3 linked regions of the Macaca mulatta genome follow. The protein of the gene in region 2 purifies or fractionates together with the protein of the main gene of each other region. This does not show direct contact. Links are inferred from orthologs where the notes say so. Each region holds a gene or a part of one and is shown on either strand. Other genes may lie near its edges.

Region 1 (3,689 bases), on a different chromosome or scaffold from region 2:
ACTAATTCTTATCATAAATAGTTGATTTCCTACTATTCTTGGTACCAGCTGCCAAAGCCAGTCATCCTGGTTATGTATATGGAGGGTAAATATAAATATATCTAGGTACATTCATACTTAAGTGAGCTGTGTATTGTTTTTTCAAGCAATTACAGAATACCTTAAGATTTCCAAGTTACTCACAAAATAGACAATCTAGAGATAATTACCCCAGTCTAAAAGGGCAAGATGAGAACAAGGGCCCAAGGTTGGAATCCACCTTGGGTCAGGATCTCAGCGTTAGTACTTAGGGAGGTGCAAAGTTGGAAGTAGCAAGTGAAAGCCAGGAAAAATGATCTATGCTTTCTGTGTGGTTCCTACAGCCATAGGCAATAGGCTGACAGTACTCCAGAGAGGGACGAGAGAAGAGAAACAGGATAGTGCAATGCCAGAGGAACATCCAGAAAAATTCAAACAGAGAAAAGGCCTTCGGGTCTGGTGGTTAGAAGTTGTTACTGGTCTTTGCCAAGGTGTTTTCCATAGACCACTGCGTTAGGAAAACGAATTGCCAAAGAAAAGGAGTCAGTTCATGGTAGAGGTAAAGTTCCCAGTGTAACCTTCCCTTTCTAAGGAGTCTGGCAGTGGAGAGGTCGGAAAGTAGCTAACAGGGTCTCTGACCTCAGGTGGCTGCTGGGAATGCTTATGAAAAACAGTCAGGGAGAGGTGCTGTAGAAAATGCAGGAAATTACTGTTATTCTTCAAAAAAATTGGAGGCTTATATATATTTTTTTGTTTTTATGCAGAATTGTCAAAGTCAGTACCTCCGATAATCATTTATCACCTCTCTGCTTACCCATCCTCCCAACTATGAAATGTCCCTGGCTGTTACCATCTATGATGGGGACAGCAGAAAGGCTGCCTGTTCATTAGAGAAGGACTGTGCCTGGTGTCGTTAATCCACTTAGCCAATCACTGATATCCTAATGTTTCTTTTCATGAGAACTTACTGGACTTTTTTGTTTCCTCTATTCAAGTTGAGTGAGATACTCAAATTTGGTTTGGATAAACTGCTTGCCTCTGAGGGGAATACCATGGATGAAATAGACCTGGAGTCCATCCTGGGAGAAACAAAAGATGGCCAGTGGGTCTCTGATGCCTTGCCTGCAGCAGAAGGAGGGATAAGAGAGCAAGAGGAAGGAAGTAAGTCGGAGATTAGAGCAGAGCAAATGGCACAACCACCCCAAGCTAGAGCTCATGTCCCCATGGAAAGTTTTGGATGCTGCTCTCTGAGACATCTTTTTTCTACCCTACCCTATTGTCATCTTGGGCACACTGTTTAAGACTTGCTTGATACAAGAACTGTATCCAGACTAACTGTAAATATGTGTGGCTCTGCCCTTGTAGCTGAACTGTGAACCAAAATCATAGTATTAATGTTTGTGATAGTATCAATCTTAAGGCTTTGAATTTGTCACTTTCCTCCCTTGGTTGCAAGCATCTTCTTTGTTTATTAGTGAAGCCTCTACCATCCTTGGTATGATGCTTTGCACATAGTCATTCCTCTTCTAAACAAGAGAATTACTTGTTTGTTACATTGCAGCTAACATTGAGCATTTACTTTGTGTTCATCAACAGTGTGGACTTTGTCACGTGCTTTCTCCATTTAATTTCCACAATACGCCATGAGATGTAGGAGATGGTTGCCTTTCTCTTAAATTTTCTTTTCTCGATTTCTCAGCATTTGTCATTTTCTTCTTTTCTATTCTGAGTATTTAAATTTCTGACTTGAAGTAATTTTTCACATGGTAACTTTGTAAAGGCATTCCCTGGCATCTTGTAGTTATTTTGAAATGACTTATTTTTCTGGACCAGCTGCAGCAGAGATTCAATATGGACTGGGGTGAGAGGTTTGGGAGTCTTACTAGGCTTCTTAATTCACCGGTGCTTTCTTTCAATAATAGAGAGTAGTGCTGTTTCTTTACTAGATGGTAGCTCCTTTTCATGTTGGGTAGCAGTAGTGGCATGATTTCTGGTTTTGCAGTTCTCTTTTGTTTCTATAGGACTGTGAATTTCCATCACTTGCTTTCTCTTTCTTTTTGCCACAAACTTGTCAAAGGATGTCTCCCCACTTCTAAGTTGTCTCTCTCTTCCTGCCAGAAGCAATGCCTCCCCAAATTCCTGGCTGCATGTGTTTTTATACCTTCCCTTCCCTTCAGTTCCTTAGTAGCCACTTCTCTGATCCACCAGGTCTCAGACCTATCCTCATTATCTTGCCACTTGGATTGTGACCCTCTTTTGCGGGTAAATTTTATCTCTGACCTTTCCGGAACCCCCCTGCCCTCTCCTCTGCATAGTCTCTGCCTGACTGTCTACTTTAGTGTGGGCTTTGGAGCTGGCTCAGCTGGTTTTGGGGGTTCATTTCTCTTACTTCCATAAGTTGAAGTGTGTAGTATTTTCTGACTCCTAGTGTAGTAGGCATGGATTGGGGCGGCTTTGTTCTCCTTGTTGATCTGTATAGTTTTTGTAGGATAGGTGGAAAAGTTGGAATTTGGGCAGCTGGCATTGTTTTACAGGAAACTGCTTTTTGACTTTTTTTATGTTTTACTTTAAAATTCTTTATAAAAATATCTTGTTCGTATTCTTCAAGAACTCTTTCTTGTTCTCTGCTTATTGTTTTAATTGTACTCTGTTCTCATTTCAAAGACATACTGTCTTCTCTGGGGACATTTATTATGGCTTTTTAATATGTATTCCAGGGAGGATATTTATTATATCTTTTTAAAAAGTATTTCTCTTCCCACTGCATTGACTTTTACTTCTCCTTCTTTTTTTTTAAAAAAAACCACATATATATATATTTGCTTATTTATCTATTCATTGAAATTTGCAGATAAAATTGTGTTTATCATGTACAACATGATTTCTTGAAGCACACGTACATTGTGGAATAGTTAAATCTAGTTAATGAACATACATCACTTCATATGGTTATATATTTGTGGTGAGAACACTTAACATCCACCCTCCTAGTATTTCTCAGGAATACAGTATGTCATCATTAGCTATAGTCACCATGGTACCTCTTTTTCTAAAAAAGAAAACTTGTTTGGGGGTCTCTTGTTCTCATTGATAGTTTCCCCAACTGTCTGGTATTCCCTGGCTGTCTGATCACATGTGCTGATGAAGTGCCACAAAGCTGATGGCAGCTCTGGCATGGGCAGGGGCATGGGCCTTGGGGCTTATTCCTGGTTGGCGAGTCAGCTTTTACGTGGAGGGCACCTTCCCTGATCCATATTTGACATCTTTTCACTGGGCAGCCCATTTTCTCCTGAGACTAATCCTCTAGTATTTTCCCTGGGAGAGGTGAGAATGGAGTTCATCTGGTTGCTCAAACTGAAAAGGCAGGGTGAGTCAAGGGCTCATAGCACTCCTGCTCCTTGGGGTGTACATCTTCTCTCAGCTCCCCCCTTTGCAGTACTCTGTACTTATAAGTCCTAAGCTCTTCGGAGATTGAGAGGGTCTCTAGACTCCTAATGAGCCCTTGGCTAGGCACCTGTGTTTTGTTTCCATGGCTCTTCTTAATCTGTCATTATCCCTCCAGCTACTTTGCATTTTCCAAAAGGTTATTGAACTTTTTCATCCACCATTGCCTCATATATCTTTTTTAAAATTCCTTTAACTGTCACTTGGTGGTTTCAAGTGAGAGAAGA
Region 2 (4,137 bases):
CTAAGATATTGATATTGACACAGTCCAGACAAAGCACATTTCTGTCACCATAAATATCCCTCACGTTGCTATTTTATAGCCATATCCATTCCCATCTGCCCTCCTGCCTAATTTTTTAACCTTTGGCAACCACTAATCTGTTCTCCATTTTTGAAATTTTGCAATCTGCAATTTCAATAATGTTATATAAATAGAATTACACAATATGTAATCTTTTGGATTGGCTGTTTTAACTTAAGTTCTCTGAAGATAAATCCTGCTGTAAAACCATCTAACTGATGCCAATCATGAAGCAGAATCAAAATCTAGTAAACAAAGAGCTGGGGTTCTCTGATGACTCACGTGAAAGCAAAGGGCACAAGAAAGATTAAATTTCATTGTCCTTTGTTTGTGACAGGTTTCTCTGTGTTTTCCTACCACCGTAAAAATATAAAAATATTCTCATTGTCAAACTGTTTTACTACTAAGACTATTTTACACAGTGGGATTATAAACTTTTATGTTTGTGTGGCCATCAAGGTTTGTGAAGCTTGTCTCAGAAAAACGTGCCCAATTAAGAAAGTTCAAAATCATCCTTATTTATATTAATCATTTCCAATGTATACCAATTTACAATGAACTTACTGAGTTTTCCACTTAGAACTCAGTCTTCGCTCTCTCACAAAACAAAAATAAGTCTCACTGGAATTCCTGTTGTTGGAAACAGGGGCCCTTATGTTGTGTTTTAACCACTGCGGAGAAGAATCGAGTGCATCTGTCAGCTCCAAAATCGAAAAAACTACAAGGTGATTTGTTTGTTCTCCAAATTTTTCCTTTAACACACTTAGGATGTCATTCATAAGCACTTCTGATACCTGCCAACCTTGGCAACAGAATCTCATCCCTGAATGTTATTTTAAAAGGAAAAGCAAGATCTTGACCAGATAATTGCCCAGCTTTCACTCCCTATCATTTTAAAAAACAGATACCAAATAGGCTCATCTCACATTAGCAAGTCGACAACACAAAGAACAAGCTACAAATAATGAAAGGGTATGCAATCTGTTGCCAAGTTTCTACAACACGGCCCTAAAATTCATCCATCTTTTAACCAGACCCAGGTACTCTACTGGTGACAATGTCTTAAGCAAGTCAAAACTCATTAGTCACCAGACACATGATTACTAGATGAAACACATACTCTAAGTTTCTAACCTACGAATTTAAAAGAAAAACAGAAAAATAAAGCCTCCAGTTCCTTCCAGTGTTTGTAAGGCTAATAAACGACGAAAAAAAAAATTGAAATGATGTTAAACATTTAAATAATCACTTGTCAGTTAAAAAAAAGAACAGCAATTGAGTACTGTCTCAATAACCGTACTACATGCACATGTGTATGTACACAACACACAACACACACACGCCTTTAGGACCAATTTCCATAACACAATCTTAAACTACCACTCCTTTCCCTGCTCCCAGAAGGGACCTAAGGCAAGTACCAATGGTTCCATTTAGACTCTAGAAGTCAATCAGGATAACAGTAAACACTCCTCACTCTTTGGTGTTAGCTCACTGACACAGGTGTCTCCCAGTCCCAAGAGAAAACTCCTAGCGGGCAGGGACCCATGTTCCATTCATCTTTGTATGCCCCACAGTGCTAGAATCTGCAAAATGTTCTACACAGTGAGCACTAAAAAGAAATGCTGAATGTTAAAGAAAAAAATTAAAAACTAGATGTACTTAAGAAGAGCTCTATAGAATTCTGGAATGCAATATGCAAATGTTCTCATTCCTAAACCTCCCAAAGAAGGTAGAGAATATTTAGTTTTGTGGCATTGTGTCCAAAAGCTTATGCATGGACCTTAAATAACGTATGTATGGCTCAATTTTCTCATCTGAACAATGAGGATAATAAAAATACCTGACAGTTAAAGATGTTGGTATAGATAATGTCTCCTTAGACCAATGACTCGAACGCTATACACATTCCTTATTAAGGATTAGCTACTCATTTTACTGGAAATAATAAATAATACAAATAAATAAATAAGGTCCACACAGCTCTGCAAAGGAGACCAAAGCTTAAATTAGCCTAGAAGACATAATATCACGGTTTGGCAAACTTTTCTGTAAAGGGCCAGAGACTACCGTAAATATTTTAGGCTTTACAGGACAAGCCACAATACCCTGAACCCTTGCAGCAATATTCTCCCGGAAAAATTGGTAGGTTTTTTGTTTATATTTTACATTTTAGAATTTAAGAATCATTCTTAGTTCACGGGGCCATACAAACATAGGCTGGATTTGGCCCCCAGACTCTAGTTTGCCAAACCCCGGAAAAGATAATAATGGTAATACAGTCAGTGTTTTTAAAGCAACATAAAGAAATGTTTGTGAATTGCTTAAAGGTAACTGAAAAACTTGCGGCCCCAAACTTATAAAATCCAGACCGGCGGACCAGCGCGGTGGGGAATAGGGCTAGGACTAGGGCCGGTCTTCAGGCGCCGGAGCGGACCTCCACGGCTTTCGGGGTCCGCCGAGCCCCCGCCCACACTTACTCCCAGCAGCGGCCCGCGGCCGATCACAGTCTCCCCGGGCGCCAGGGCCACCCGGGGACCGCCGTCCCGCGGCTGCAGCTCGAAGCCCCCGGGCATGGCGGGCAAGGATTAGGCCCCTTCGCCAGGAGACTGGCCCCTCCGCTGTTTCCGCGGGGAAAGCCCAGGACTTGGGAAAAACAGCGGGGGAGGGCCGCAAAGGCTACCCGCGCCTGCGCCGGTCCTGTCAGAGCCCAGCCCCAGCGCAGTTTCCCGAGTCCCGTCCCTCCACGCCTACTGATGACGCAATCGGGGATTCCCCAGTCACGCCGCCTCAAAATTATTGTTTAAAAACCCCGGCTTATTCCCCACCACCCTTTTCACCTCCCTCCCTTCTTGGAGGACGCCGGGCCTTGTAGTCCTGGCGCCTTTCTTCACTTCCTTTCCCGAGCTAAGACGCCCTGGAAAAAACTACCAATCCCCAAAGGCACTACGCGCCCCCTCTCGGCGCCTGCGCGAGTTCCGAGTCAGCAGGGTGGGGCTTAGGTGGGCGGGAAGAGAAGAGCTATGGGGAAAGATTCGAATTCCGGAGGATTTAAATCGCGGGAGGAGAAGCCATCGCGGCCCAGTAGGTAGGAGGATCTTCCATTCCCGTTGGCTTAGATGTCTACGCTCCCGGGGACGCGGCCCTGACGCAAGCTCAGCCTTCCCTCCGCGGCCTGGAGCCGCAGTGACAGCGCTGACGGTTGTTGTCACTTGTCAGTGCTCCGTGTTCTTGGCTTCCAGCAGCTGCAACCCGCGCAGGACACAAGGAAGGTGGCTCAGATGGGACGTGGGGTGATTAGCCCTGACCCGCGGGATGTGGGCTGAGTGGGGCTCCCGGCCCCACCTTATGCGCTGCCGCCAATCTATCCCTCCGAGTGATAGTTGAAAGGGAGACGAGCTTTTACCTCACTTGAGAGAGAATTCAGCAAAGCTCGATTCATAAAGGAGAAAGGGCAGAAGAGGGGTCGTTTCCAGGCATCCAGGCGAACCTGGACGTAGAAGAAAGATTCCTAGTGGGATTTTAGAACCTCGCCAAGGCATCCCCTGCTGTGAAATTCAAAAACCTTCATTCCCGTTGCAGGAATTCCACAAGGGGAGGCATTTTATTCTCCCAGTAAGATCCTGGGAGAAGTGGATAAACACACCGTAACGTTTAAATACACTGTAACGTTTTCCTAATGTGAGATTCTTTTCAAGAACCTTGTGGTTTGGCTTTGGTTTGTATTGGTGGTGGGAGGGGCCAAGGTGCATGGCAAAAACTTGCTCTTGACTCACTCGTTTTTACCAGTTTGCTTTCTTACTTCCCCCAACCCTCAAGAGGAAGACCTCTGTTGAACACAGACTACAGTTCCAGCCACCACAGCTAATCTGGATCATGAATAGGAACCACCGTGGTCTTGTGAAGTCCAGAAACATAGCTGAGTAGCTCGTCTAGAAAAGAGATTTGTGTTCAGCTGAGTTAAAAGAAGTATTTAGCTGTATCTCAAACCCCTCCTCTTGCACATCCAACCCCCGTTATAAAAGGAAGTGCAAAATGGAATAAACTGATTTTAAGTGAATACCAGCTGTCTTTATA
Region 3 (3,689 bases), on a different chromosome or scaffold from region 2:
CCATGGTACCGGGGATAAGAGTCACGAACAAACCAAAGCTTGGTAAACCCAAGTTACAGGAGAAAACAAGCGAGAAAAAAGAGTACAGAATAAGAGCCCCAGGAGAGACAGAGGGGGCAAGTCTGAAATCCTGACTTTTGAGAACCAGGCCTCTGTGGTTCAGCAGTGGTATGGTTTCCGCCCTCAGAAACTTACGAAATTAACAGCTATAGCCTCACATTCAGCTCCCCCAGTAATAAAGGCTTGCTCAAATGGGTTTCAGTTTCCTAAAACAGTATGTGTCCCAACCAGAAAAAAAAAAAAAGAGGCTGCAGGTGCCTGGCTTGGCAAAACCCTACCTGGAATGTAGCCTACCCTCCCTCCCCTTCCTCTGACCTGCTCTAGGTCCCGTGCCATATCATCTGGGTTGCAGTTAAAAATGCGACTGAAAAGCTTCACAATCTGCTTATCATTCAAGTTGTAAACAGTCTTAACGACTCCTGGCAGCAGCAGCTTCACCGTTAGGTACACATCACCGTGGAAACCATCTGGAGATAGAAGAAAGGAACCCTTCTTGAGAAATAGAGCTTAAACACATAAATATATAAACCCAAAGAAGACTGGGCAAGGTGGCTCACACCTGTAATCTCAGCACTTTGGGAGGCTGAGGCAGGAGGACTGTTTGAGCCCAAGAGGTGGAGGTTGCAGTGAACTGAGATTGCACCAGTGCACTCCAGCCTGGGCAACACAGCCACATTTTTTTGTCTCAATAAATAAACAAACAACTCAAAGAAGCAGAGCCCAAAACATATCTATATATCACTGCCCACGCTCCTATAGTGCCCTGTGCATATTGCTACAGTAGGAGCAGCATGGAGTTCAGAGGCTGGTGGACTGTGTGACTGCCTTGCCTTTAGCCTACAGATGAACTCTCGTTGGACAGAGTGGTTACTTTCACTTCAGGTGCCCAGTGACAAGGGCATTACAGATGCTCATTGACAATTTGTTAGATAAATTAAAGAAACAGAGTTGGAAGATTCTATTCCAAGCTGTGTATATGGTTCACAAAAACCTAATTAAATATGTAGGACAGTAAATTTTCTAACTAGTCAAATAGGATGGGTTCTTCTGGCCTCCTAGGAGCAGAATAATGGGAGAGGAAGAAAGATGCCAAAGTGCTCTGAAAAAAACTGGTTACATAATTTGAGGAGTACAGTGCAAAATGCAAATGCGAGGCCCTTTGTTCAAAATTATTAAGAATTTCAAGACAGACTACAGTAAAGCATTAAACCAAACATGGGACCCTGGGCAACTACACAGCTCACATGCCCTGGAAGGCAGTCATGGCCTTGAGCTCTCTGGAGGAAAGGCCTATTCAGGATGCTCATGCCACACCTCCTGCTGAGCCTTTCCGCAGGAAGTCCTGGATGATCTGCGTCTTCGTGTTGTAGCTAGGATTATCGGCCACCATGGCGCATAACTTTCGAAACTCCCGTAGCAGACAGTCCTTATGCTTGGGGTCACATTTGCTTGAAGACAGACTTCTCTTAGGGGTGGGGCTTGAGGGGGCTTCCCCAGAGTTGTTGGGCTTGGCTGTTGGAGAAACAACAGAGATGAATTCATTCTGCCTTTCTGAGAAGAAAGAAAGGGAAGGAAGGAAGTTAACAGATATTCTGCTGGTACTTTAGCTTTATTTACTCTCCCCGAATAGACCTTTGGGGTAGATGTCATTACACCCATCTTACAGATAAAGAAATGGAGGCCAAGTAATTTTCTCAAATCTTACAGCTATTAATTAATGGTAAAGGAGCAATGGCCTCCTTAGACCAAGCAAAACATCAGACTGATGTGCATCTCTTTATGTGAGCACTTCACAAAAGAATAAAGACCGAAGTCATGCCAAGAATGATCAGGACTGGCTGGGCACCGTGGCTCACACCTGTAACCCTAACACTATGGGAGGCCAGCGTGGGAGGACCGCTTGACCCCAGGAGTTTGAGACCAGCCTGGGCAACATAGGAAGATTCTGTCTCTAAAAAATAAATAAATAAATAAATAAATAAATAAATAAATAAATAAAGCGGTCAGAAGATTCTCAGAGCAATTGTAAAGCTGACCCCAGAAAAGTTGGCATGAAAAAGGAGTAAGAAATCAAGGCACATGTTAGTCAATGTGAAATTACTGCTATCACAGGTTGTCAGAGCTGGAAGAAGCCTTAAAGATTATCTAGTTCAATGGTCTCTTACTGATAAGGCGATTGAGGTCTGACAAGAGCAAATGACTTCCTGGCCCACTTCCTTGTTGAAAGAGCCAGGACAAAGACACTACTAAGAAAGTCAGATCCCACTAGTACACTCAACATCCCCACCCCTTGCCACTTCAACCTTTCTTTTCTTATTGTCAAAATAAAACCCTGCTCCCCAAGGAGCAGTTATAAAAAAAAAATACATTTTTACAAAAGGTGGTCAAGGGGCAGGGCTTTCCTCCAGACGCTTAAAAATAACTATGCGCCACTCATCGATCACTTCGTGACCATTTACAAACCAAATTTTATTCCCAAGCTTGTGGCAGAGCCATTACTAAGCTAACTGCTGTTGTACGCTGCTTCTTGTCTGGGCTTTGTAAATTATAAATCCATCCTCATCTCTGATACGGAATCTAAATACGATTTTAAGGGACAAAATCTCCAAAGTGTCAATGTTCAACCAGGTTGCAAGAACTAAAATACTGTTTCTCTCAACTCCTCTCAAATTCCATCCCCAACACCGGAGCCCTTCCAGAAACATGCCGTCCTTCTCATCACCTGGACTCTTCTCTATCTTTGGCCTACCAGCAAACAACAAACAAACCAACCTCAGAATTTTAAAATAATAAAAATCCTATAGAGCCAGGCACCGTTTTTGCAACGTTATCTCTTATAGTCCTCATGAGAACACTATGGGGTAGATGAGGCACGGAGATATGATGAAGCTTAAACAAATAAATACACAACCTCAAGGAAGCAGAGGGGAAAGTAATTTATATATTGCTGCCTATGCTCCCATAGCACCCTGTACATAACACTATGGTAGGAGAGGCCACTGCTGCTTCACAGACAGAGGCTGAAGAGAAGTAAGGACATGCTCAGGGATCTGAGCTGTCAAGGATCAGAACCCAAGTCTTCTGACCTCAGGTCTAGGCTTCTTTCAATCACATAAAATGTCTTTCAATCTCCAAATGACTTCTAAAATAAGGCCAGGTGGTTTGGCTTCATTTATTTTCTTCAACTGAGTCAATCACAAGAATGTCTCCAAACAATAAACGTAGCAACACAGTGTAGTATAAAAGAGCACAGATACTGGAGTCAGACTTCAGTGCAAATACTAACTCCATGATAACCCTGAACTTCAACTTTCTCAGTCATAAAAAAGGCCTAATAAAAAGTACTTCCTAAATAAAAGTACTGTCTAGGGTTAACTGAAGAACAAATGAAACTACACATGTAAAAGCCCCTAGTCCAACGCTGTTTACGTAAGGCCAATAAATGATCCTGACCTTCTCAACTCCCATCTACACCACATGCCCCAGCAAAGTCTTCCTGAATCCCTGTCTATGAAACAGCAATTCCATATTTTATATAAAAGAAACTATATATGTGTGTATACACGTGTGTGCATGTGTGTATTATAGTGAAGAGAAAAGGAAACAACACTTTATTGTTCATCTGTCCT

What was found. Proteins that work in one complex are often made in the same cells at the same time.
Region 1: the proteins of APLF (region 2) and CHD1L purify together in Homo sapiens (affinity purification with mass spectrometry; 4 studies listed by BioGRID and IntAct, counting the BioPlex papers as one, with this or other methods). This does not show direct contact. The link is inferred for Macaca mulatta from reciprocal best matches to the Homo sapiens genes APLF and CHD1L.
Region 3: the proteins of APLF (region 2) and LIG3 purify together in Homo sapiens (affinity purification with mass spectrometry; 3 studies listed by BioGRID and IntAct, counting the BioPlex papers as one, with this or other methods). This does not show direct contact. The link is inferred for Macaca mulatta from reciprocal best matches to the Homo sapiens genes APLF and LIG3.

What each region holds. Positions count from the first base shown.
Region 1 is NC_133406.1:118,844,473-118,848,161, reverse strand, and holds part of CHD1L (chromodomain-helicase-DNA-binding protein 1-like), read left to right. Parts: intron 1-1,013; coding exon 1,014-1,179; intron 1,180-3,689. UniProt on the Homo sapiens protein: ATP-dependent chromatin remodeler that mediates chromatin-remodeling following DNA damage.
Region 2 is NC_133418.1:56,275,906-56,280,042, forward strand, and holds the start of APLF (aprataxin and PNK-like factor), read right to left. Parts: upstream 2,817-4,137; 5' UTR 2,637-2,816; coding exon 2,541-2,636; intron 1-2,540. UniProt on the Homo sapiens protein: Histone chaperone involved in single-strand and double-strand DNA break repair.
Region 3 is NC_133421.1:44,508,432-44,512,120, reverse strand, and holds part of LIG3 (DNA ligase 3), read right to left. Parts: intron 1,573-3,689; coding exon 1,375-1,572; intron 528-1,374; coding exon 376-527; intron 1-375. UniProt on the Homo sapiens protein: Isoform 3 functions as a heterodimer with DNA-repair protein XRCC1 in the nucleus and can correct defective DNA strand-break repair and sister chromatid exchange following treatment with ionizing radiation and alkylating agents.